Arabidopsis thaliana: one gene and its partners. The protein of the gene in region 2 purifies or fractionates together with the protein of the main gene of each other region. This does not show direct contact. Each region holds a gene or a part of one and is shown on either strand. Other genes may lie near its edges.

Evidence for each region. The genes of interacting proteins can lie anywhere in the genome.
Region 1: the proteins of EMB2271 (region 2) and AT3G23620 fractionate together in Arabidopsis thaliana (co-fractionation; one large-scale study listed by BioGRID). This does not show direct contact.
Region 3: the proteins of EMB2271 (region 2) and AT4G26600 fractionate together in Arabidopsis thaliana (co-fractionation; one large-scale study listed by BioGRID). This does not show direct contact.

What each region holds. Positions count from the first base shown.
Region 1 is NC_003074.8:8,477,069-8,484,220, reverse strand, and holds AT3G23620 (Ribosomal RNA processing Brix domain protein), read right to left. Parts: upstream 4,197-7,152; 5' UTR 4,075-4,196; coding exon 4,006-4,074; intron 3,818-4,005; coding exon 3,614-3,817; intron 3,308-3,613; coding exon 3,062-3,307; intron 2,949-3,061; coding exon 2,706-2,948; intron 2,624-2,705; coding exon 2,558-2,623; intron 2,465-2,557; coding exon 2,348-2,464; 3' UTR 1,999-2,347; downstream 1-1,998. Other genes in the region: DSPTP1 (dual specificity protein phosphatase 1), read right to left, coding at 4,570-4,685, 4,822-4,967, 5,079-5,199, 5,303-5,438, 5,539-5,704, 5,940-5,941; AT3G23605 (Ubiquitin-like superfamily protein), read right to left, coding at 7,088-7,152.
Region 2 is NC_003075.7:11,270,881-11,277,611, forward strand, and holds EMB2271 (Transducin/WD40 repeat-like superfamily protein), read left to right. Parts: upstream 1-3,415; 5' UTR 3,416-3,427; coding exon 3,428-3,810; intron 3,811-4,031; coding exon 4,032-4,374; intron 4,375-4,462; coding exon 4,463-4,687; intron 4,688-4,751; coding exon 4,752-5,096; intron 5,097-5,182; coding exon 5,183-5,248; intron 5,249-5,328; coding exon 5,329-5,406; 3' UTR 5,407-5,419; downstream 5,420-6,731. Other genes in the region: AAT1 (amino acid transporter 1), read left to right, coding at 1,428-2,090, 2,183-2,895; AT4G21140 (copper ion-binding protein), read right to left, coding at 6,611-6,731. UniProt on the Arabidopsis thaliana protein: Component of a nucleolar small nuclear ribonucleoprotein particle (snoRNP) thought to participate in the processing and modification of pre-ribosomal RNA. Essential for embryogenesis. May function during late embryogenesis.
Region 3 is NC_003075.7:13,416,638-13,425,789, forward strand, and holds AT4G26600 (S-adenosyl-L-methionine-dependent methyltransferases superfamily protein), read left to right. Parts: upstream 1-2,923; 5' UTR 2,924-2,991; coding exon 2,992-3,531; intron 3,532-3,627; coding exon 3,628-3,691; intron 3,692-3,820; coding exon 3,821-3,960; intron 3,961-4,062; coding exon 4,063-4,146; intron 4,147-4,237; coding exon 4,238-4,312; intron 4,313-4,401; coding exon 4,402-4,473; intron 4,474-4,566; coding exon 4,567-4,640; intron 4,641-4,885; coding exon 4,886-4,938; intron 4,939-5,020; coding exon 5,021-5,130; intron 5,131-5,333; coding exon 5,334-5,402; intron 5,403-5,487; coding exon 5,488-5,562; intron 5,563-5,732; coding exon 5,733-5,998; coding exon of another isoform or gene 5,999-6,002; exon of another isoform or gene 6,003-6,076; coding exon 6,077-6,176; coding exon of another isoform or gene 6,177-6,203; exon of another isoform or gene 6,204-6,290; coding exon 6,291-6,616; coding exon of another isoform or gene 6,617-6,620; exon of another isoform or gene 6,621-6,720; coding exon 6,721-6,781; 3' UTR 6,782-7,154; downstream 7,155-9,152. Other genes in the region: OPT5 (oligopeptide transporter 5), read right to left, coding at 147-213; D6PKL1 (D6 protein kinase like 1), read left to right, coding at 8,931-9,152. UniProt on the Arabidopsis thaliana protein: Involved in ribosomal large subunit assembly. S-adenosyl-L-methionine-dependent methyltransferase that probably methylates the C(5) position of cytosine 1586 (m5C1586) in mitochondrial 26S rRNA.

The DNA.
Region 1 (7,152 bases), on a different chromosome or scaffold from region 2:
TGACTTTTTTTTTTATAATCAAAAGCTATAACTTTGTGTATTTTTTTTTCTTTTCTAACCACCCTTATTATAAGTTCTATCCCTACTAGCTAGTATACCTAAAAGAATTGATAAGAAATGTAATAATTATAGGTTGAGGTACTACTTTGGTTATAATACGAATGTAAATTAATTAACTAAACAAAAGCTGGAAAACAAAAGCACAAATGATCGCAACGAACGTGTAACCACACAATCTATGCGTTATATAACTAAAATAAGTGTTTGTGTATGTGCCCAAAGTTTTCGTCTTTACATTTCAAATGGAAGAATCATTAGGAACATAATAGTTCCTTCTTTTTTAACATTATCTATACAAAACAACTTGGCCATATATATCTTTTTAAGCATTATCTATTATCTCTACAAAAAATTCCATCAAGTATTTGTTCATTTCCTAATGTTAAAATTTCTTTTGTGTCCTTACTTAAGTTTGAGATGTAATGTGAAAATTATATCGCAAATTAATCTATATGATCGATTTTCTTGGTTTCGAAGAATTGATCGATAAGGCTTAAGACACTGATGTTTGATATCGGTATCATCCCTCTTCTAATTATTATTATTATTTTATTGTTTTGGTCAAACCCTCTTCTAATTATTTAAGCTACTAATTAATATTGGTTATTCATGTATCAAATTAACACCAACAATCATTCTATATCTTATTGTGAAAGAAAAAAGGACTTGTAGTGGAAGTAATATTCATGCTAGTACTGATATTGTCAGCCGATGTTAGTGATAATCCGGACGATGGAAGATCCATTATACAAGAAAATATTATATATTACACCTAATAAAGATGTCTTAAACTCCCGGAAAAAAAACAAAATCTGATGATAAGAAAATAGTATTACCACAAGAAGTCGTTGCTTATGTTGCTCTGAGCGTGCGGATTTGGCATCATTAACGAGTCAAAAGTTAAAATTTGTTATATAGTTGAAACATATGTGGGAATGGTGATGATGAAATGATGATGGTGATGGTAATAAACTAACCATTTGTTTAAGGCGTATGAATTTTAAAACTTTTACTGCTAAATTAATTATCTTGCAAGAGATTCTTAAGAATTGGAGTATTTGCTAAGAAATGGCAATCGTTATAATAGATGTTTTGGATTCTACTATTTGTTCCACCAAGATAGTTTTTTCAAGTTCATATACAAATTTATATGATAATATAACATATTGTCATTTACTTATAAAGCGTATATCTATGTTGCCATTTGACTTCACAATTTTTTAAAGCAGAACCTACGTGCAAATTTTTTTTTGTCAACACGTAAAAAGTATTAATTAATTTGATCAAATCGGTGTATATTTTAGTTTTTTCAATGGAGATGGTCAGATGGGTCAATTGTTTGCTAGTGACCACAGATCGTGTACAACGGGTACTGTCGGTACGTGCATGCATTGAGTCCGAAACTTGGTAATCAAAATGGACTGTCTTTCACGCGTATAGAAAAAAATAACAATGTTGTAAACATCATAATTAATGATATTTTATTTCTGTCACATGTTATTTGATTTTTTTTTTTTTTTTTTTCATTTTTCCAACATTAAATCCATTGATGATAACTATAGGATAATCTATGCATTGAAGTTCCTCGAAATCCACAAGACGAACTTCTCATTTCCTTAATTGATTCTAGTCATGCATACAAATTAACATTCGGTGATAGATGCAAGATATACTATTTTAATCATTAGTTTCCTATGGTTTGGTTTGGAACATATAGTAAATAAAAACCATAAAGAATAATGATGAAGAAGAGTCCATAGGGGTAGGTTTCAATTATAGATAAGGTATAAGCCTAGTGTTGAAAGATTAAGACAGCTAACTGTATAAAAGCTTAATAATTAGGTTTGTAAACTCAACATGTATCAGTCATTATCATTTAAAAGTTGGTAGGTAAAAAAATACACGAAATAATCATCATGGTCAGCTTCATTTTCATAAGTAAGATATCACTAAGAGATGGTAGTTAAAAGAGGTAAAAAAGTTGTTGGTAAGACAGTGATACAGGCAAAAATTGTGGTCTCATTCAACACGGGAAAAAAGTTGCTGTCTTACGCATGTACTGCAGTAGGAAACAGAGATAGACAAAAATGTGTTTTTATCATATCCAGTTTCTGTTGCTGCAGAGTTTTAACAAAACAAAATCACCTTAATAAAATATTAGCGTATAGAAAACATTCAGTTATAGATTCTAATGGAAAAATAAAAGTCAAGCTCATTACACTACAAAATCATTTCATCTTCCACATATTGAAAGCTGTTGATGCAGAGCCAAGAGTGGTCTGTTGAGTCACTCAGAAGACACCTTCATCTTTTTGGCAACAGTCTCTTCCTTATGCTTAAGCTTAGCGTCTTTCCGCTCTCTCTTCGATCCCTTAGATTTATCGAACAGTTTCATTTCTTTCAGCTGCACAAAGATCGAAAACATATCAGTTTGGGATGATAATAAAAATAATAATCTCCAGATTCGGATATTGGCGTTTATCGCTTTCTTTCTTACCTTCTGATCAGGCATATAAATCTTCCCAGTCTTCCCTAGTACTGCATCTTGATCAACGTTTTTCTCCTGTAGAAGAAGAGATTGATTGATTAGTCATCTGTCTCTTTCGATTTTAAGAGAAATATTAGACTTTTATGTTGTTTAGTACCTTCTTCTTAGGCTTATCCTTGGATGTTCTCATTGCTTCTTTCATTAAGCTATCGTTAGGAAGACGATTACGCCTGATAACCAAGTCCATGGATGGACCGACTTCAACAAGCTCCATTCTCGGAACAATGGATCCTGACTTTTTAAGCTTCAATGCGCAATGAGTAAGGAAAACCTTTGTTGGGGATATAGCTGAACATACGTAAGCGCGGTCTAAACCAGTAAGATTTAGATTATCCACAACCTGCAGACATATACAAATTCTGTTATAAGCCAAATCCATATAGAATCAGAATAAAATTGAAACTGGTTATGGAATTAGCTGCAAAAGTAGGTCATAAGAATCAAACACTTCACCTCGCCACGAAAAAGATCAGTGAGGACTTCTTTGAGATGCTTAAGCTCTGATACATTCTCAAAACCTTCACCAATAAAGCAAATGAAAGGCTTTGTTCCTTCATGAGGTGCGAATTTCTTGTCATACGAAAACGCCCGCAAGGATTTAAAGTTCTCAATCCCAACTTCTATAAGATCATAGACTTGGTGATCATACATTCTCCCAAGTACAAGATTGTCAGGTCGTTTCTTCGTGTGAGAACCATACTGCAATATAAAAACAATCACCAATGTTAGAACTCGCATCAAAGTTAATTTGCCAATACACCTTTCCAAATGACTTCTTAAGGCCTGTGATAACATCAGCCAATCATACCAATTTCCACCATAAATAAATACACATAGACTAACAAGACAGAAGCAGAGATGCCTTAGAATGAATCTAGATCACAGGATAGATCATCTTAATAACATTTTGTTCTATCTAGCAGTTCATAGCTAAGTTAAGAGGAGAATCAAAGTTGCAACACCATAAAACCAAGATGCAACAGCTGCCAAAGCTTATGAACTTACCACAAAAATGCTACAATCTGTTTTCTGAGAGAAGAACTCTAATGAAGTTTCACCTCCACTCTCGAAAGGCCTAATATTCTCATTCCTCCTTGAATATCTGATGGCACCTCCCTTCTTCAAACGGTAGAGTTCCGTCATTACAGAGCTAAGTGTAGCACTCGTCTTTGTTCCATGAAGTATCAACGTCTTCTTCCCAGTTTCAACCTACAAATTCCAAAAACAACCAATTCAGATACAAAGTTTGCAACTTTCAATCGATTCTTTGATAAATTTATCGACAAATAGAAAACCCATGAGTCTCATAGATGTCAAAACAACATTGAAGACAGCTCTCAACATGATTCACTTCTCGGTTTTAAGAAGGACGAAGGAGAAAAAGAAGAGAACTTTACCAACTTAGGAGCTCGGCTTTCGAGAACACGCTTGGCTTTGCCAGTCTTCGGAGTTCGTATTTCCATCATGACTCTGTTAAATCGCCGGAAAGTTTCACAAGCGACGGCTCCGAAAGAAGAGAGAAAGGTTTTTCGATTGATTGATATGGAGTCTAGGGTTTTAGTGCCTCCTCACAATTGGAAGCAACTTTAAGAGAATTCTAATATGACCCCTAACCTTATAAGTCTGTCCTAAATCACCCCACAGTTTTTTATTGACTATAAAACCCAATGTTTCACAAGGTCCATGAACTGTTTAAACTATACGGGCTCAAATTAAACAATGACAGCCCATGAACTTTTACACACAAAAAAGACATTTCATTGCGGTACAAAAAATTTACAAATTTTTATTTATGTTCACTTTTATATCCATGATGATGAAACTATACAAAACGAATAGAGAACATGAACATATTCCAAATTCGTTTCCATGTTATTATTCGAGTTGTTAAGGAGAAGAAACAACAAAACATTTTGATTGATGCTTCGTGTGAGATTTACAAGTTTCTCCCAATGGTACGATCAATGATCTTCACGCCTGACATTGTGCAATCGTAACTTGCTTCCCTGTTTTATAGAGAAGAAGGAAGATGCATGTAAGAGATATTTACATGGAACTGTCTTCTCCTCCACAACCACTTGCTTTTCATCCTCAAAAGGAAAAAAACTGGTCACTCACTACTGAATCAGACAGACAAAGTATCTCCAACTTAGATTCACCACAGAGATCTCAACCTAATAGTCTAGACCTCAAGATATTATAGTAAGGCATACCTTGCATAGACTTCTCGAGGTCTTGTAATTGTCTGATGAAACCAGCATTAGGACTTGCCACGGGTCTTTTGCTTTTAACATGTTGCAATGCTTGAGCTAAAGTCATACCGTGTTTCTTCATGAGGTAAGCAACAACTATAGTGACACTGCAAGTAAAAGGGACAAACCATCCAGGCTAAATATGTACTTAGTTTTGAATACTATCCAGCAAACAAGGCGAAAACCGCTAGATATTGAAGGAAGCAAACAAAACTGACCTCCGTGATTTGCCAACAAAGCAATGAACAAGAACACTACCGCCTTGTCTCTTGGCTTCATCAATGAAATCAACACACTCATCGAAGTACATTTCTAGATTTGTATCTTCCTTATCCACGACTATCACATAGAAAAACAATCAAACAAGCAATTCCATCCCAAAATCAAAAACATATTCTCTCTTCAACTAGATAACAAAGTGAAACCTTTAATAAGTTTATACCTCGAACAACCTTGTAAACAAAGTCATCAGGATGAGCTGGTCTCAACGAACTAGCAACAGTCAAAATATGTGTAACATTGTAAGATTTCAAAACATTCTTATTACTAGCTGCTGCAACAGATCCAAGATAAAGACCCTGAAAAAGTCAAATTCAACAAAAGGTTTGATCTTTGATAATGAATCATTGGTCATTTGGTTGGTAGAAAAAACCTATGAGTATTAGTAGTAGTAGTAACCTGTTCAATAAGGGAAGGGACATTGTCGTCTCTATAGGTACGAGCAACTTTAATAACACGAACAAGAGCTTGTATCTGATTCTTCACCTTTTCATTATACTTTTCTATTCCTGGTAACGAAGAAGATGACGAAGAAGAAGAAGGTGATCCTCTGTCTCTAGAACTCCTGATTTCATCGAATCAGAAAAAAGAAGAAGAGAGTTTACATATCAAGATCGTGATCATAGCAGCAAGAATCAAAATCAAAATCAAAATCCAGGTCACCGAAATAATGGAATCCGATTCTGATGAATGATCTTATAACCGAACAACGGTGAATCGAGAATTACGATTACAACGACGGAGTAGTGATTGGTTTAAGATCAAAAGAAGAATTCGATTATCAAGGAAGAAGAACTTACATTGGAAAAGAAGGAATACGAATTCGCCAAAGGAGAAAGAGATTTACAAAAAAAAAAAAACGAATCTTTGAAATGGGTTAAAGAGGAAATTGCAACTGCATGGTTCTCCAGGTTTTTTGGGGGAAGGAGGAGGAGGAGAGGGAAGGATGTGTTCAAAGAGGGCCAAATAGTAAAATTTCCTTTCTATCAGAAAAATCAGAAATGTTTTAACTTATTAGCTCAGTCCTTATATTATACTCAAAAATTTGTGTTTGGGATTTGTGCTTTGTAGGCTTGGTTTCCTGCTATTAGGCCCCCTGGATTAGTAAGAAGTAGTGTACTTGGCTGAAACTGAGGCAACGGTGTTGTGAATATGTCAGCAAAACTGTACAGAGGCAGAGATGTATCGAGTGATGATGATGTTGTTGTTAAAGACTGTTTGTTATTATGACGTAGTAGTAATCTACTTTAATGTTTTTTTCGAGGGCAGTAGAGCACAAATCTACTTCAATATAGTCCATCGAAGTTCGATATTTTACTTCGATAGACTATCTAATCAAAGCCGGTCTCGACGAGTTTCTCGGTTTCCATTTTGGTACGGTCTTTCCCATTCCTAGAAATTGTGCATGAACATGAAGTACTTCCTTGCTCACTTGATGCTGTCTTAGGCTTGTTTAGAAATAGGACCCTAATTGCTTTAAGAAATCTGACTAAAAAGTAATGGACAATGTACAAATGTACCCTCAGCACACCCTCTAAGCCCGGTCCTGGCACATATCGACGAGTTTGTCGGTTTCATTTTGGTATGGTTTGGTTTACCCACTCCTTGCTCACTTGTCTTAGGCTTGTTTAGAATTTGGGCTTATGGGCTTGGTTTGCTACGTCACCGTATACGTAACTTCGTCACCTCAAAAACTATGCGAGAAAGAGTGACTTAAGAAGCAACAAAAAGATAAACCAAAAACTATACGTTCTTCTTGTATGATGATGACGACATTGACTTTGAAACAGTGTTATCTAAAAACGATTTGATCGGAAATATCTAACAACGATTCAAGAAAACCAAATGAAATTTGCAATTTCCAAGTACAAATTCGAGAAATTGAGTAAACATAAACTTGGTAGAAGAAAGAAATTATTTTTCTAATTACAGATCGAAAGAAGATTCTTCAGAGCCAAGTAACAGAAACCAAGGAATTAGCAAGCCCAGATTGTTCAAAAGTAGTATTAGATC
Region 2 (6,731 bases):
CTTTGAACTAAAGACGCATCTTAACAGATCCTATTTTTTTGTAACGTCGGTCATAAATATGCGAATTTCAAGAAAATGTTCAGACTATATTTTTTAGGATTAGTGTCATAAGTAGGAAGATAGGGAAAATACGTTTAAGCAGGCTAAGAGTCTCTTAGCTGGTTAAATTTAGTTTTAATTACGATTTACATGTTTAAACGAAACGCATATTTGAGGATATCTTTTCTAGCGATATTCTAACTATAGTGTCATCATAATTAGGGAATAGAAAAATGTAGCGTACATTTATCAAGATCTAATAAATATGCAGACGTATCATTTCTGACAACTTCGTCAATAAGAAAATATTCTACTTGATTCAATCATTTATGCTGGTGCATTTTTCCGGCAACTTAATCCTTCTTTTTTTGGTTCGGTGTCGATTAAGTTTTTGTCCCATGTTTTGGGAGTCACTAGTGGTTATGAGTCCTTTTTTTATATATCAGTTGCATAATTCACCTCAATACAACGACCAATAAAATATTCTGTTGATGTACAAAGAGTCAACCATACGATATGCTTTTAGTAATACTTCTAAACTCAACATTAATTAAAAATGTAGTTATTGTCTTACTTGTAAATTATTTAGGTTAAAACCAAAAAAAAAAAAACTATTTAGGTTTAAAATGTGTAAATGAATAAGATCAGCTTCTTTATTACAAAAATTACTATAGAACAAATATTGAATTTTCAACTCTCGTAGCGTGACGGAATCTCTGGGGTCAACTAGTTGACATCTGACTTATGAGGGTCGTTCACACTATCTAGTATCAATCTACTATTTATCCTCCGTTTTTTTCCTTTTAAATTTGATAGTAGCTACAATACTATCAAATCACAAATTAAACAATCGAATGATTTGATTATTATCTTAGAGTTGCAAAATATTTGTTGCCATTTATTAGATTGTTAGCTACTTTTAAAATTGTATTTAAAACTTTGTAATTTCACAATTTTAGTCATGGGGTCTACCTAGAAGACTTTTACATACAGACAAAGAAATTAAGCTAAACAGATGATTACTTACGTCAATGACCTTATATACGTAAGTCCCAACTATATAAGTCAAGCTTGTAAATTGCCTTTATTGACAGTTCAAAAGTAAATTAATTTAATATAGTATTACTACTCAAAAATATATTTTTCATTTTCGAAATAACTTGTAGTGAAATCCCACTAGAGATTATGTTTGGGTCCTAGAAAGTAGAAAGTGGAGTCATTTTCAAAATTATTTTTTACTTCCAAGTTGTTTCGAACTCAAATTGAATATTATCGTAAATAGAAACTCAAACGCATACATTACTTCGCCCACAATTATTTGTAAAAACATTATGTAATTTCTTTCATATTTACTATTTAATTTACATAACCATTGAGTCAATGTTTAGGCGGTTCTTTTGCCTACTTAAGAGTGGAGCTCGGCGACTTCATGGCCTTCATCGCCGCGGGAAACATAATCCTCGAATACGTTGTCGGTGGAGCTGCCGTGGCTCGATCGTGGACCTCTTACTTCGCCACTCTCTTAAACCATAAACCTGAAGACTTCCGCATCATAGTTCACAAACTCGGCGAAGACTATAGCCACTTAGATCCAATAGCCGTCGGCGTTTGCGCCATCATTTGTGTTTTAGCTGTCGTTGGCACAAAAGGCTCCTCAAGATTCAATTACATTGCTTCTATAATCCACATGGTCGTGATTCTCTTTGTTATCATCGCCGGATTTACTAAAGCCGATGTGAAAAACTACAGCGATTTCACTCCTTACGGCGTTAGAGGAGTGTTTAAATCCGCCGCGGTTCTTTTCTTTGCCTATATTGGATTTGATGCGGTTTCAACGATGGCTGAGGAGACAAAGAATCCAGGGAGAGATATTCCTATTGGTCTTGTTGGATCGATGGTGGTTACTACGGTTTGTTATTGTCTCATGGCGGTTACGTTGTGTCTTATGCAGCCGTATCAACAGATTGATCCGGACGCGCCATTCTCGGTTGCGTTTTCTGCCGTTGGATGGGATTGGGCTAAGTACATTGTCGCCTTTGGGGCTCTTAAAGGTATGCCAAAGATTTTGGCCTTCATTATTTATTTGCGTTTGCGTTTACATTTAGTATAGTCTAAAATCTATACTAATCTTTGAAATGTTTAGGTATGACGACGGTTTTGTTAGTTGGGGCCATTGGTCAAGCTAGGTACATGACACACATAGCCCGAGCCCATATGATGCCTCCATGGCTAGCTCAAGTCAACGCAAAGACCGGAACACCAATTAACGCGACCGTGGTAATGCTTGCCGCGACAGCTCTCATAGCATTCTTCACAAAACTGAAAATTTTAGCCGATCTCTTGTCTGTTTCCACACTTTTCATCTTCATGTTCGTTGCTGTGGCTCTTCTCGTTAGAAGATATTACGTCACCGGAGAAACATCGACCCGTGACCGTAACAAGTTTTTAGTGTTCTTAGGTTTGATTCTTGCGTCCTCTACCGCGACTGCTGTTTATTGGGCTTTGGAAGAAGAAGGTTGGATTGGGTATTGCATTACGGTTCCTATATGGTTTCTGTCTACGGTTGCCATGAAGTTTCTTGTACCGCAAGCTAGGGCTCCGAAAATTTGGGGTGTTCCTTTGGTTCCGTGGTTGCCTTCTGCTTCCATCGCTATTAATATCTTCCTTCTTGGTTCCATCGATACAAAATCGTTCGTTAGGTTTGCAATCTGGACAGGTATTCTGCTCATATATTACGTCTTGTTTGGGTTGCACGCAACGTATGATACAGCTAAGGCGACGTTGAAGGAGAAGCAGGCATTGCAGAAAGCTGAGGAAGGTGGTGTTGTTGCTGATAATTCTTGTTCTGCAACTTAAGCTCACTAGTTGGTTTTAATATATTGTTAAAGTGTTTGGCTTTGGATTCGGGTTTATTAATAGTTGTCAGATTCTTCGTTTGGTTAATTAGTGTTCTGATCTCAAGAATTGTAATGTCTTTGGTTTGTTTAGATTTTCAATATGTTAATAGATTTTCTTCACATTTGCATCAAACATGATAATTAAGGTCTGGTTTAATCCTTCTCAAGTAAAATAGATGTGTGACAAAAGTATGTCGTATTTGAAACCAAAAATCAACTTATTCGAGTTACCAACGTTTTAATTTATGAATTCACAAGATACTTTTTTCCATTTAATTTGTTTATGAGTAAGTTGATTAATTTGTGGGTTAGGCCCATCATGAAGTAAACCTATTAACCTAGTATTGTTTGCGGGGAAAGTTAGGGCAATTTGTGGATTTCTTATTTAAGACAGAACAAAGAAGAAAACAAACTCTGTATTTTTTTCTCCATCGCCAGTAAACCCTGCGTTCTCTCTCGCTCGCTTGTGTGTGATAGAGAGGGAGAGAAGAATGAAACTCGAGAAGAAGAAAGGTATTGGGGCGAAGAGAAGAGGGAAAAAGAGTTCCATCGATCATGATCCTTTCTTAGAGGAAGAGACAGAGAAGCGGAGAAAATTCAATTACGATGATGATGATGATATCGAATCTGTAGAATCTGAAGAGGAAGGGAAGGTTGGTGAGGAGGTGGAGGATGAGTTTGCTCATGAGACGGTAGGCGAGAAACGAAAGAGACTGGCGGAGGATACTTTGAATAGAATCGAAGAGGCGAAACAGAGAGAGCATGAAGAAGATAACGAGGAAGATGATGATTTTAGAGATTCGCTTGTGGCAAAGACTCTAATGCAGGAACAGCTCGAGAAGAGTGGTCGTGTTCGGAGAGCCAATGCATTGAGGTAATGAAGAAGAAAGTTGTTATTTTTCATATTTGAGTCCATGAGCTAGGTTTTTATATTTGAAACCACTCCTCAGGACTTGTTTAACTACGTATTCATAGACTTCAAAAATGCTTGTGATTTAGGTTTTATGGAATTTTAGGAATTAGTTTACATTAGTTTTTATATAATGGCTTGGAGATTGTTTGTACTGATACTCTGATTAAACTTTACCGTGTCAGGGTTCAAGATCTACAGAGTAGCGATAAGTTTCGTGTTATAGTCAAACACCAACATTCTGTTACAGGAGTAGCTCTATCAGATGATGATTCAAGAGGGTTCTCAGTTTCGAAAGACGGTACTATTCTGCATTGGGATGTATCTTCTGGTAAAAGTGATGAGTACAAATGGCCAAGCGATGAAGTTTTGAAGTCTCACGGGTTAAAGTTCCAGGAATCTTGGTATACAAGACATAACAAACAATCTCTAGCATTAGCTGTTAGCTCTGATGGCCGGTATTTAGCGACTGGAGGAGTTGATTGCCATGTTCATTTGTGGGATATCCGAACACGAGAGCATGTCCAGGTAAACAAGCTTAAAAATAATCAAGTTAAGGATTCTGTTCATTGTGTCTTGCTCTCAGCCTCTTTTATTAGATATGTATCTATTGCAGGCTTTTACAGGTCACTGTGGCATTGTTTCTAGTCTATGCTTTAGAGAAGGAACTGCAGAACTCTTTTCTGGTTCATATGATGGAACATTAAGTATATGGAATGCAGAACATAGAACATATATAGAATCATGTTTTGGACACCAGTCTGAACTTCTATCCATTGATGCTCTAGGGAGGGAGCGTGTTCTCAGTGTTGGACGCGATAGAACAATGCAGTTATATAAGGTAGGTATTGTGGTCTGTTTGATTTGTTTGTCTATATCTAAGCACGATTTTTGTTTCCTATCAGGTTCCCGAGTCTACTCGGTTGATCTATCGAGCTTCCGAATCAAATTTTGAGTGCTGCTGTTTTGTTAATAGTGATGAGTTTTTGTCCGGATCAGATAATGGAAGTATTGCACTTTGGTCCATTTTGAAAAAGAAACCAGTGTTTATCGTTAACAATGCTCACCACGTGATAGCTGATCATGATTCTGTTAACCATAACTGTACACCAGCATGTTCTTGGGTCAGTTCAGTTGCTGTCTGTAGAGGTAGCGAGCTTGCTGCATCGGGAGCTGGTAATGGTTGTGTGCGTTTATGGGGTGTTGAAAGTGGATCTAGTGCTATACAACCTTTATACGAGCTTCCACTTGTAAGTTTGTTTTCCTAGGTCGGCTCTTATTGCTATTTGTGTGTTGCATCTGTTACTGACATCCAATGCTTATGACCTTTTTGCAGCCTGGGTTTGTGAACTCTTTAGCTTTTGCAAAATCTGGTCGGTTTCTGATCGCTGGTGTTGGACAGGTACACATTTTCCTTTAACCAGACATATATATTCGTCTCTGTGAATGCCAATCTTAACTGTAACTTTGGGTATATGGCAGGAACCGCGGCTCGGAAGATGGGGTTGCTTAAAATCTGCGCAGAACGGTGTTGCAATACATCCCTTAAGGCTTTCATGAAGGGATCTCAATTTAGATTGCAACTTATTTTAGAACTTCAGTTATGTAGAGGTACTACAGCTATATTTTTGACATGGAAGGGAAGAAAGAGAACATATAGAGGCTCTAATTAAACAAAATCGGAAAGTCCCATTCCTGCTTTATGCTTAAAAGTCTTGTTTTATTGATCAAACAACATATACAATCTGATCTTTACGCATAGAGGAACTTTGTTTTAGTGGTATTCAAAAGATCCTAAAGAATACTAGAATTGATAAAAATTTGTGGTTTAAGAACTCAGATACACAAACTTGATTATTTTACCAGAGATTTGGACTCAATAGGTCTACAAAAATAGCTAGTGAACTAAGGAAACATAGAAGCCAAGAGGTCCCTAGATGAAGTCTAATGACTACGATTCTCTCTAGACTAGCTACCTCAGCTTTCAAACTATGATGATCCTTGGAGAATCGTGGTCTTTGTAGCTTTAGGACTCTTGCCATTGCACTCTACTGGACCGGGTAACAAGATGCAGAAAATGATATGGAGAGCTTGAAGAAAATACCCAGAAACTATGCATTTGAATGAAGAAGCACAAGCAGATGCAGGACATCCTTTCCTACATAACATTCTGCTGAACTTCCAACACAAAGCTCACAGAGGACAAACCTCAACTCCCATATTGATTAAACAGTTGTAATCTTGGTGCAGAACTGTAGATTCCAAGATAGTCTGCAGTTCTTATCTAGGAATATGGTTTTGGTAAGGATAAAAAGTTATACCAAGTTTGAGCTGATCATGACCCAGTGGCCTTCCTAAAGGTTAGAATATATGAAGAGACAAATCCTAAATGTATGAGTGTACAGTGTTCATACACATAATACTGAAAAATGAAGATTTGAAAGAAGTATGCAAACAGGCAAACACGATCAAGGAAAGAGATACAAAAGAGGTTTAACAAGATTCCATTTACATCCTAGACAACTTCACCTCTCAGAAGGCCGATATGAAACAATATAAAGTAGAAAAAGATTAAACTTTCAAGCTTCAACTAATATTCTATCATATAGTAGCAACTGCCAGTGACCATTTTATTTCAAGTAGATCACAAAAATAAAGACAAATGTCTCAAAGTTATATCCATTGATCGAAATCCAATCAACACAACTAATAAAACAAGAGAAAACCAATGACGCAAAGACAAATTCCTCTAACCTTAACAAGATCATCTCAACTTCTCTTTACCAGAGCTCTTCCTAGCCGCAGCATTCATAATCCTCTCCAAATACCCTTCAATAGGTGGAGTAAGCGTAGCCGTACCTCGACTCACCGGAAACGGAGTCAAA
Region 3 (9,152 bases), 2.1 Mb from region 2:
AAGTTGCTTAGTATGATCTACATTAATCTAAAGGAATCGAGTTGTGTTTAAGAATTATACAAATAGAGCATCAGCCATAACGGTACACAAGGAATCAAACCACATCGAACCAAGATTGGTCAAAACAGAATCGAGATTTTATTTACCGGCTATGACGATCTTGGACTCAACCTTGTGCTCTGGAGGCTTGGATACTTCGAGAGAGCCTACCATTTTCTGTTAGGCGGCCCTGACGTCGATCGACTCGGGTGATAATGTCCAGAGTTCTGAATAACTTGCTGTAGAAGTAATGTTCTTGTAAGCAACCTGTGTTAATGACCTGACATTAAAAATAAATTTTCTCTGCAATTTTTCCAGGAAAAAGGAAAAAGTTAGACCTCTGTTTTAGTTAAGATGTTTGAGAGGATGTACTAGTATTAGAGAAGATACAAGAGAGTATTTCCTCTAATATGTATTGGAGTGAAGACTGAAAGAATCATGATTTCTCGACGAATTTCTTAATATCGACAAGTTTACTGAACTCATTAGAACTAAAGTTGTTGATTCACTTTCAGTGGAAAAAAAACTTTCACTTCGGGGTAAAAAGCTAAAATCTTGATTTCGAGTATGAATGTAGATTCTACATCTGGTATGTTTTTGAAATAGGTACTTAAACTAAAAGAATAAACAGATCATAAATATAGCAATTTTTGGCATTTAATCATTTAGAGATACTGGATCTAGCAATTTGTAGTGTATTCCGTCTATAGCTTTCAATTATTCACTTTACTTCTCTGGTTTGAAAGAGACAAAAATCAGTTTACAGAAAGTAGACTTTCTATATAGAAAAAAGAGAAAGAACTTATCAAAAATAGTTTATACATACACTCTCATTCAAAGTAAAAGATTAGGATAGAGAGTAAATTACAAAAAGAAATTGAGCATTACAATAATTAGCGGATGTTGATAATAAAAAGGAAATAATTGAACTAGCAAGAGACAATTTTGTGAGGTAAGAGTTGCAATTTAATTGGCGATCACTTGCAGCAGCTAAAAACAAAATTTTTAGCGATAGTGACAGTCTTAATGCATTATGCATGTAATTGGTTCGTACGTGTATACTTGCTGGTGCACCGCTTAATAGACTCCGAATTTGACTCGGACTCTTTGTGCGTTGGACGCGCGTCACAGGTGTGTCTTTCGGTCTTGCTTGTGGTCGCAATTGTATGTATCGTTGTTTTTGTTTTGATTGCCAATATGCATCATTGTTTCCATAATCTATCGGTTATACAATATGAAACGCATATTTCCACTTTTATTCAAGTTTCTGTTTCTAAGACACACACTGTCTTATTCAATCTGTTTCATGTCAACGTCTATGACTAGGTTCTATGTGTTATAAATAACTTGCAACTTCACCAAAAACATAATACATTTTTTTTTGACAGCCAAACTACATATATATCCTGCAAATGATAATATTTCAAATTCTAACACAATTTTACAAGAAATTTCAACCAATCAATCAAATTATTTTTGGTAGTTGGAATTAAAATTCACCAAAAATAAATTCGTGTTTTCATTCTTAAAGAAGAAACAGAATCGTTTAGAACTGATTTTAGAAAATTACGTGATTCATTTCAGTTTTTGTTATCAACATCACTAGCTTCAATCATGCATGGGCTGAGCATGTAACGCAGGTAGAGATGTCAAAATGGGTTAAAATTCATGGGTTAACTCAACTCAATTCAACCCATGAACTCTAATGAGTTGAAAATTTTGACTCAAATGAGTTAATGGGTCAAATGAGTTGATGAGTCAATTGGTTTGATGAGTAAAATGAGTTGGGTTGTAATGGTTAATGATTTCAATGGTTTACCCAATTAACCCATCAAGTTTTGTAAAATTGAATTAAACCAACTAAAATTTCTAAACCAATGCCAATTTAAGTTTAACCAACACATTTAAACCAATTTAATAAAATTAATATTTTTCCAAATTTCTTAAATATACAAGCGATGAAATTGATAAAAAGTAAACTCGTAATTTTTCACTAAAAAGATAAACCCGTGATTTTCCCGCCAAAAACGTAAATCCATAATTTTCCCGCCAAAAACGTAAACTCGTAATTTTCCAGCCAAAAACGCAAATCCGTAATTTTCCCGCCAAAAACGTAAACTCGTAATTTCCCGCCAAAAACGTAAACCCGTGATTTTCCCGCCAAAAACGTAAATCCGTTATTTTCCCGCCAAAACGTAAACTCATAATTTTCCCGCCAAAAACGTAAATCCGTAATTTTCCCGCCAAAAACGTAAACTCGTAATTTTCCCGCCAAAAACGTTAACCCGTGATTTTCCCGCCAAAAACGTAAACCCGAGATTTTCCTGTCAAAAATGTAAACCCGTAATTTTCCCACCAAAAACATAAACCCGTAATTTTCCTGCCAAAAACGTAAACCTATAATTTTCTCGCCAAAAACATAAACCTGTGATTTTTCCGCCAAAAACGTAAACCCGTAAAAAGTGGAATCCGTAAATATTTTAAGTTTGATGATAATGAATTAATAATATTAATTATTTATTATTGTTTTATAATAATAATTAATTAAATTATTATTTAAATGGGTTAACCCATTTAACAATTCAATCCATCAAATTAAATGAGTTATGGGTTGACCCAACTCATTTAACATCTAAACTTATTTGATTAAGAGTTGAGTTGGATTACCCATTTTGAAACCCCTAAACGCATACATCAAATAACTTATTGAATTATGTTTTTATAGGTTTTATGAATTCAGTGGCTCGATAATTTATTAGGCTGACAAAAAATAAGTTCGACTACAGCCCATTAGTTAGTATTAGTCAGGCCCATTAGTTAGTATCAATCAAGCCCATTAAGCAACTTTGCTCATCCTCCATCTTTACTAGATTCTTCGACCTTGCTTCTCCTACCTCTGCAATTCTGCTAAACCCTCACGGCGATAAACCCTAAGTTGTAAAAACCGTATCCATGGCTGCTCTTACGCGTAACAAGAAGAAGGGTTCCAATTCACAGACTCCGCCACTGAATAAGCAGACTAAGGCGTCTCCGCTGAAGAAGGCGGCTAAAACCCAGAAGCCTCCATTGAAGAAGCAGAGGAAATGTATTTCGGAGAAGAAGCCCCTCAAAAAGCCTGAAGTTTCCACAGACGAGGAAGAAGAAGAAGAAGAGAATGAACAGTCTGATGAAGGGTCTGAATCAGGTTCTGATTTGTTCTCTGATGGTGATGAAGAAGGAAACAATGATAGTGATGATGATGATGATGATGATGATGATGATGATGATGATGATGAGGATGCAGAACCCTTAGCTGAAGACTTTCTCGATGGTAGCGATAATGAGGAGGTAACCATGGGTTCTGATTTGGATTCTGACTCTGGTGGATCCAAACTCGAGAGGAAATCTAGAGCTATTGATAGAAAACGTAAAAAGGAGGTACAAGATGCAGACGATGAATTCAAGATGAACATTAAGGAGAAACCTGATGAGTTTCAGCTACCAACCCAAAAGGTTACATTTTCCTTTACTTAATTGTGGATTTGTTCATATTCTGGATCTCTGGAGCTATTTGTTAGCTAATCTTTTCTATTACTCTACATTGTTTAGGAACTTGAAGAAGAGGCACGTCGGCCGCCAGATCTTCCTAGCTTGCAAATGAGGATAAGAGAGAGTGAGTAACATTTTCAAATTTTATTCCTTTTTAAGAATTCTGGTGTAATGTTATTATTATGATTGTTTTAAATCTCCTAAGGAATCATCCTCTCGGTTCTTAGTTTAATGGTACTAATTTGTGTTTCAGTTGTTAGAATCCTGTCGAATTTTAAGGACTTGAAGCCAAAAGGAGACAAGCACGAGAGGAATGATTATGTTGGACAGCTTAAAGCTGATCTTAGTTCTTACTACGGCTATAATGAGTTTCTTATTGGAACTTTAATTGAGGTTATTCCCTAGTCTCTGACTTTACTCTTTATGCTTGCTTTGATCTAGAGTTATGTGTAGGAATTCTGTTACTTATACTCTTTAGTTGTAATCTTCTGGCAGATGTTTCCTGTTGTTGAACTCATGGAACTAATCGAAGCTTTTGAAAAGAAAAGACCTACATCTATACGTACTAACACTCTTAAGGTGAACTTGGTTGTGCATTGGAGTGTCTAAAACAAAGTATTTCTCAGCTGTTGTGATATTTCAATTAATGCTGATGTTTGTTTTGGTTAAGACTCGAAGACGGGATCTGGCTGATATACTTTTGAACAGAGGAGTTAATCTAGACCCATTAAGCAAGTGGTCAAAAGTAAGTAGTATTTGCAGATTGTCTTCCATTTTATTTGCGAAAACATTTTTGTGGACCATCTTTAGTTGATCCTGGCATAATATTTGTAGGTTGGACTTATCGTTTATGATTCACAAGTTCCGATTGGTGCAACTCCTGAATATTTGGCAGGATTCTATATGGTACTTGATTTTCTGATTTTTTTTGTACTTTTCGGCTCACACTTTATGGGTTTTCTTATTGTTTACTTAAGTATGTTCTTGGTACATTTTCAGTTGCAAAGTGCTAGTTCGTTCTTGCCAGTGATGGCCCTTGCTCCTCGAGAAAAAGAACGAGTTGTGGACATGGCGTAAGTCATTATCTTACATAAATGCACTATATTTGTGTCTCAGATAAATATATATATATATATATGATGACCAAGCAGTACCTTAATCTGATATTCAAGTGTAGCTTGTGATATGTATCATTTGTTATGATTGTTGTGATGATAAGTGCTGTCAAAACGGAAAAGCCAATTTGATTGTCCCGTGATGTGAGACATATGCAACTAGTATATTGTGATATCTGTAACAAGTTCTTATACCACTGCAGTGCTGCCCCTGGTGGTAAAACAACATATGTTGCTGCACTAATGAAAAATACAGGTATACATATATTGGTTCCTTATTCCTCCAGCCCCATAATTTTAGTCAGTTATATCTAATGTTATAATGTTTATATAACCAGGCATAATATATGCAAACGAGATGAAAGTACCTAGGCTTAAGTCACTTTCTGCCAATCTACATCGCATGGGAGTGACAAATACCATAGTTTGTAACTATGACGGACGAGAGGTTAGTTTCTTGAACCTTTATTCTTCTGTTGACGGTACATGCTTGAGGATGTTAAATATTGCAAACTGGTTGTAAACCATCAGCTCAACCAAATTGAAAAATTACTGGCAAGACTGTAATTGCACCAAATAACAAAGTTTTAAAGACAGCTTCTCTATTATTCCCTTGCATTTTTTATTTATCTCATCTTCTTTGCCTTTCAGCTAACCAAAGTTTTAGGTCAGAGCTCGGTTGATAGAGTATTGCTGGATGCTCCCTGCAGTGGAACTGGAGTAAGAAAGTTTGGACCATACACTCTTATAGTCTTTTAAGTGAATTTCTCTGTTCATAGTTTAATGTCACTTCTACACAATGCAGGTTATATCAAAAGACGAATCAGTTAAAACTTCCAAAAGTGCTGATGACATAAAGAAATTTGCCCATTTGCAAAAGGTATGTTGTTGCCTTAAACAATATCAACTAAAACATTCTTTACATCCAAGACAAATATTTAAACATGAAAATGGCATAAACGCCGTTTATACCCTCTTACTGTGAGTATATAAAGAAGGATGCATTTGGTATATAATGCTAACCATACTCTCTTCTTTTCTTGCGCATAGCAACTTATACTTGGTGCGATTGATTTGGTAGACGCCAATTCCAAAACCGGTGGATATATTGTTTACTCAACATGTTCAGTTATGATACCCGAGGTTGGTGAACCATACTTTTTCTGTTCCACTATTTTTTTTTCCTGGCATCTTCATGTTTTCTCACTAGTTCTATTTGTACAACAAATTATGCAGAACGAAGCTGTCATCGATTATGCTCTGAAAAACAGGGATGTTAAACTCGTTCCATGTGGACTTGATTTTGGCCGACCAGGGTAATATACATTTTCATCTGCATTGAAAAATTTCATGATTCGTCATCTGAACACAAATGTTTTGCTGCATATCTTCAGATTTAGCAGTTTTAGAGAACACCGGTTCCACCCTTCTTTAGAGAAGACTAGACGTTTCTATCCTCACGTGCACAACATGGATGGATTCTTTGTTGCAAAGGTATACACTTGGTTAACCTATGAATAGCTTTTCCCTGCAAAACAGATGTTTTATAAAATATGAATAGTGATTAAACCAACGAGGTATTTACTTTTTCCTTTCTTTGTTCTGCAGCTGAAGAAGATGAGCAATGCAATGCAGCCTTCAGGAAATGATGAGCCAGCTGTAACAATGGAGCAAGCTCAGGTGTCGTCTAGTGATGATGATGATGAGAAAGCTGAGGCCATTGAGGAGTTGGAGAAGCCACCTGTTGCCAGTGGGCAACCCAAGAGAGAGAGTAACACTAAAGAAGACACGAACAAACGAAAAAATCCAAGGTCAAAGGAAATTCACAAAGGCAAAAGGAATAAAAACACAAAAACCGAAAGTGGTAATGTGGAAGAACCCAGGAAGCAAAAGAAGAAGAGATCACAATGGAAGAATGAGATTGCTCAAGCTAGGTAAAAAAACTAAGTGTTTCCTTGACAGACAAAAGAGAAAACCTTCTTATGTACATTGTTGTATCATACACCCATTTACCCATAAATGGTTGAATATGTTGCAGGGAAGAAAAAAGAAAAACCATGAGAGAGAATGCTAAGGAGACGCCAAAGCACAGGGGATAAGAATAGGTTTGAGATCGTGATGCATCTTGAAGAGTAGAATATTTCGGTGTTCTGGCCATGGCGAAGGACACAAGAAAAGAGGCTTCATTGGCTGAGGCCAAGGTATCTATACAATGGCTTTCTAGTTTTGATTAATTTACTGCGTAAAGAAAGGGTGACACCCACATGGATTAGCTGTTACATGTCCAAAAGTTTTGTATCAATCACATAACTTGATTTTTGTGAGAGGCTGTTTCTATTTTCCGTTTTCAATTGGAGTTGTAAAATTTATTGAAAACAAAAACGAGTCCCTACTTTCTCTCACAAGTGTGTTTGAAAGGCTATTCATTTTTCTGCTCCTAGCAATTATTTAATAAAATACATAAATCTTGGAGGGTTGGGTCCATACCACCACATAAGGATAGAATTTCTCATAGTATTGATTTGACGAAAAAATAAGGGAATTGGGAGTGAGCTGGTCATTGTTAGGGAGAGATGTGAAGGTTTTCTGAAGTGGGACTTGAGTGTTGGAGAAACATGACAATCCAATTCAACTCTTCTTCATCCATCTTTATCAGATTCTCCTCCGTTGGGGACCTTACATTTACTTCTCTCACACTAATCTTCTTGTTTCTATTTTTAGATTATAAGCCCATATTATAACTGCTAGTGCTTGTAGCCTTGTATACACAAACTCACATGCATCACATATAACATCGTATAATTGCTGTATTCACTTTATATTTGGATATCCAAGATTATAGAAAAGAGATTCCTTTGCAGGACCCAAAAGATACAGCTTTTAAAAGCAAATGAGTTCATTTTAATTTCTTGCTAACCAAAATGGTAAGTAATTTTGTGGACTTATGGTATGGATAAATAACAAAATCTCAATAAACCATTGAAAATAGGAAATCAAAAAATATATTTCTGCATATAATTTGAAAAGAAAATTTGCATGGAAATAACTATGTTTTTGAACAAACTAAACATGGAAATAATTATTACCGCAAAGTACAAGGCATTACGATAAGCATCCTTGAAAGCTTTGTCTTTTTTTTTGGGAACTCGAAAGCTTTTTGTCTTCCAGTTGTAAGAAAAATACAGGAAAAAAGAATTGAAAAGCCCTAAATAAAAAAGTCGAAAACTTTAGCTTTGACCAACTCTTTCCTCTCTTTTCATGGTAGACCCAACTCTCTCATTTCTTACTCTCTGATTCATCTCTCTCTCTCTCTTCATTTCCATGGAAGGAAGGTGATGAGCTTTCTCAATCTCTCTTTACTGATTCTTAATGAAAGTCATCTCCTTTCTCTTTGGTATCCCTTTTCTTCTTCTCTGCTTAATTCCTGACCAAAAATTGTGACAAGATCTTTCAATCCAAAAGCTATATACATTAAGGTAACGATTTATGAAGTATTTCTCCTCAATTTCATTTCTTTTGTTTCTACGAGTCTGCATAGATCCAGAAGAGCTTTGCTTGATTGTTCTTACTTTCCTGAGATCTGTTTAAACTTAGCAAAAAAAAAAAGTCTACTTTGCATGAAATGTGTGATTAGGGTTTATGCTAATTTTGGTTAATTGGAGAATCAGAGAGTGTTCCCTGATGTGGAAGTAGTGAATTACTTTGGGTTGAGTAAATGTATGTCTCTCAATTGATTGTCAACGAGATTTGAGCTCGAGATCCGTAACCAAGTTGAGCTAAAGCTTCTTTCTTTCGACTTGTTCTCTATATGAAAATTATTTTTTCTTTGACTCAGTTATTTTTCTTAATTTGATTTCTTTGAGCTCGATCTTATGATTCATACTGCAATGATTGAGTTGTGGCATCAGCTCTGATGGTATCTTCTGTTTTTAAAAAATAGCAACTTTTTAGTGTTTTTCTGCTCAGCTCTATGTTAAAGGATGTTTCTTCATTACGGGGAGAAATGAATGAGAGCTCTTGTTTATTGATCTTCCCATGATTCTAGTTCTAAACGAGCCTTCTGTTATCTGAATTTGAAGTGTTTTAAGCTTTTTTATTCTAATAAGCCGTCTTCTTCTCTGACGCTATGTTTTGCTCACTGCAGAGCTCAGGTCACTATCTGACGGGATCCGTGACAATAGTGGTTACTGGAGTCAAAAGCAGCTCCTTGAATCTTGAGTGTTAAGTAGATAGGTAAGGTAACCGTTCATGGCCTCGAAGTATGGTTCTGGAGTTCTCCCAGAAAATAAGAAGGAAAAGGGCGATAAGGAAACCCCGGAAACATCTTATTCCAGTCAAAGTGTCTCAGTAAACACTTTGGCAGATCAAGTATCTTCAACTTTGTCTTTTGCTCCAAGCAGCGACAGTAAAACTGGAGGTGAAGTTAAATTTAATGAAAAGTCTGATCAGAGCGGGAAGAGTAACACATGT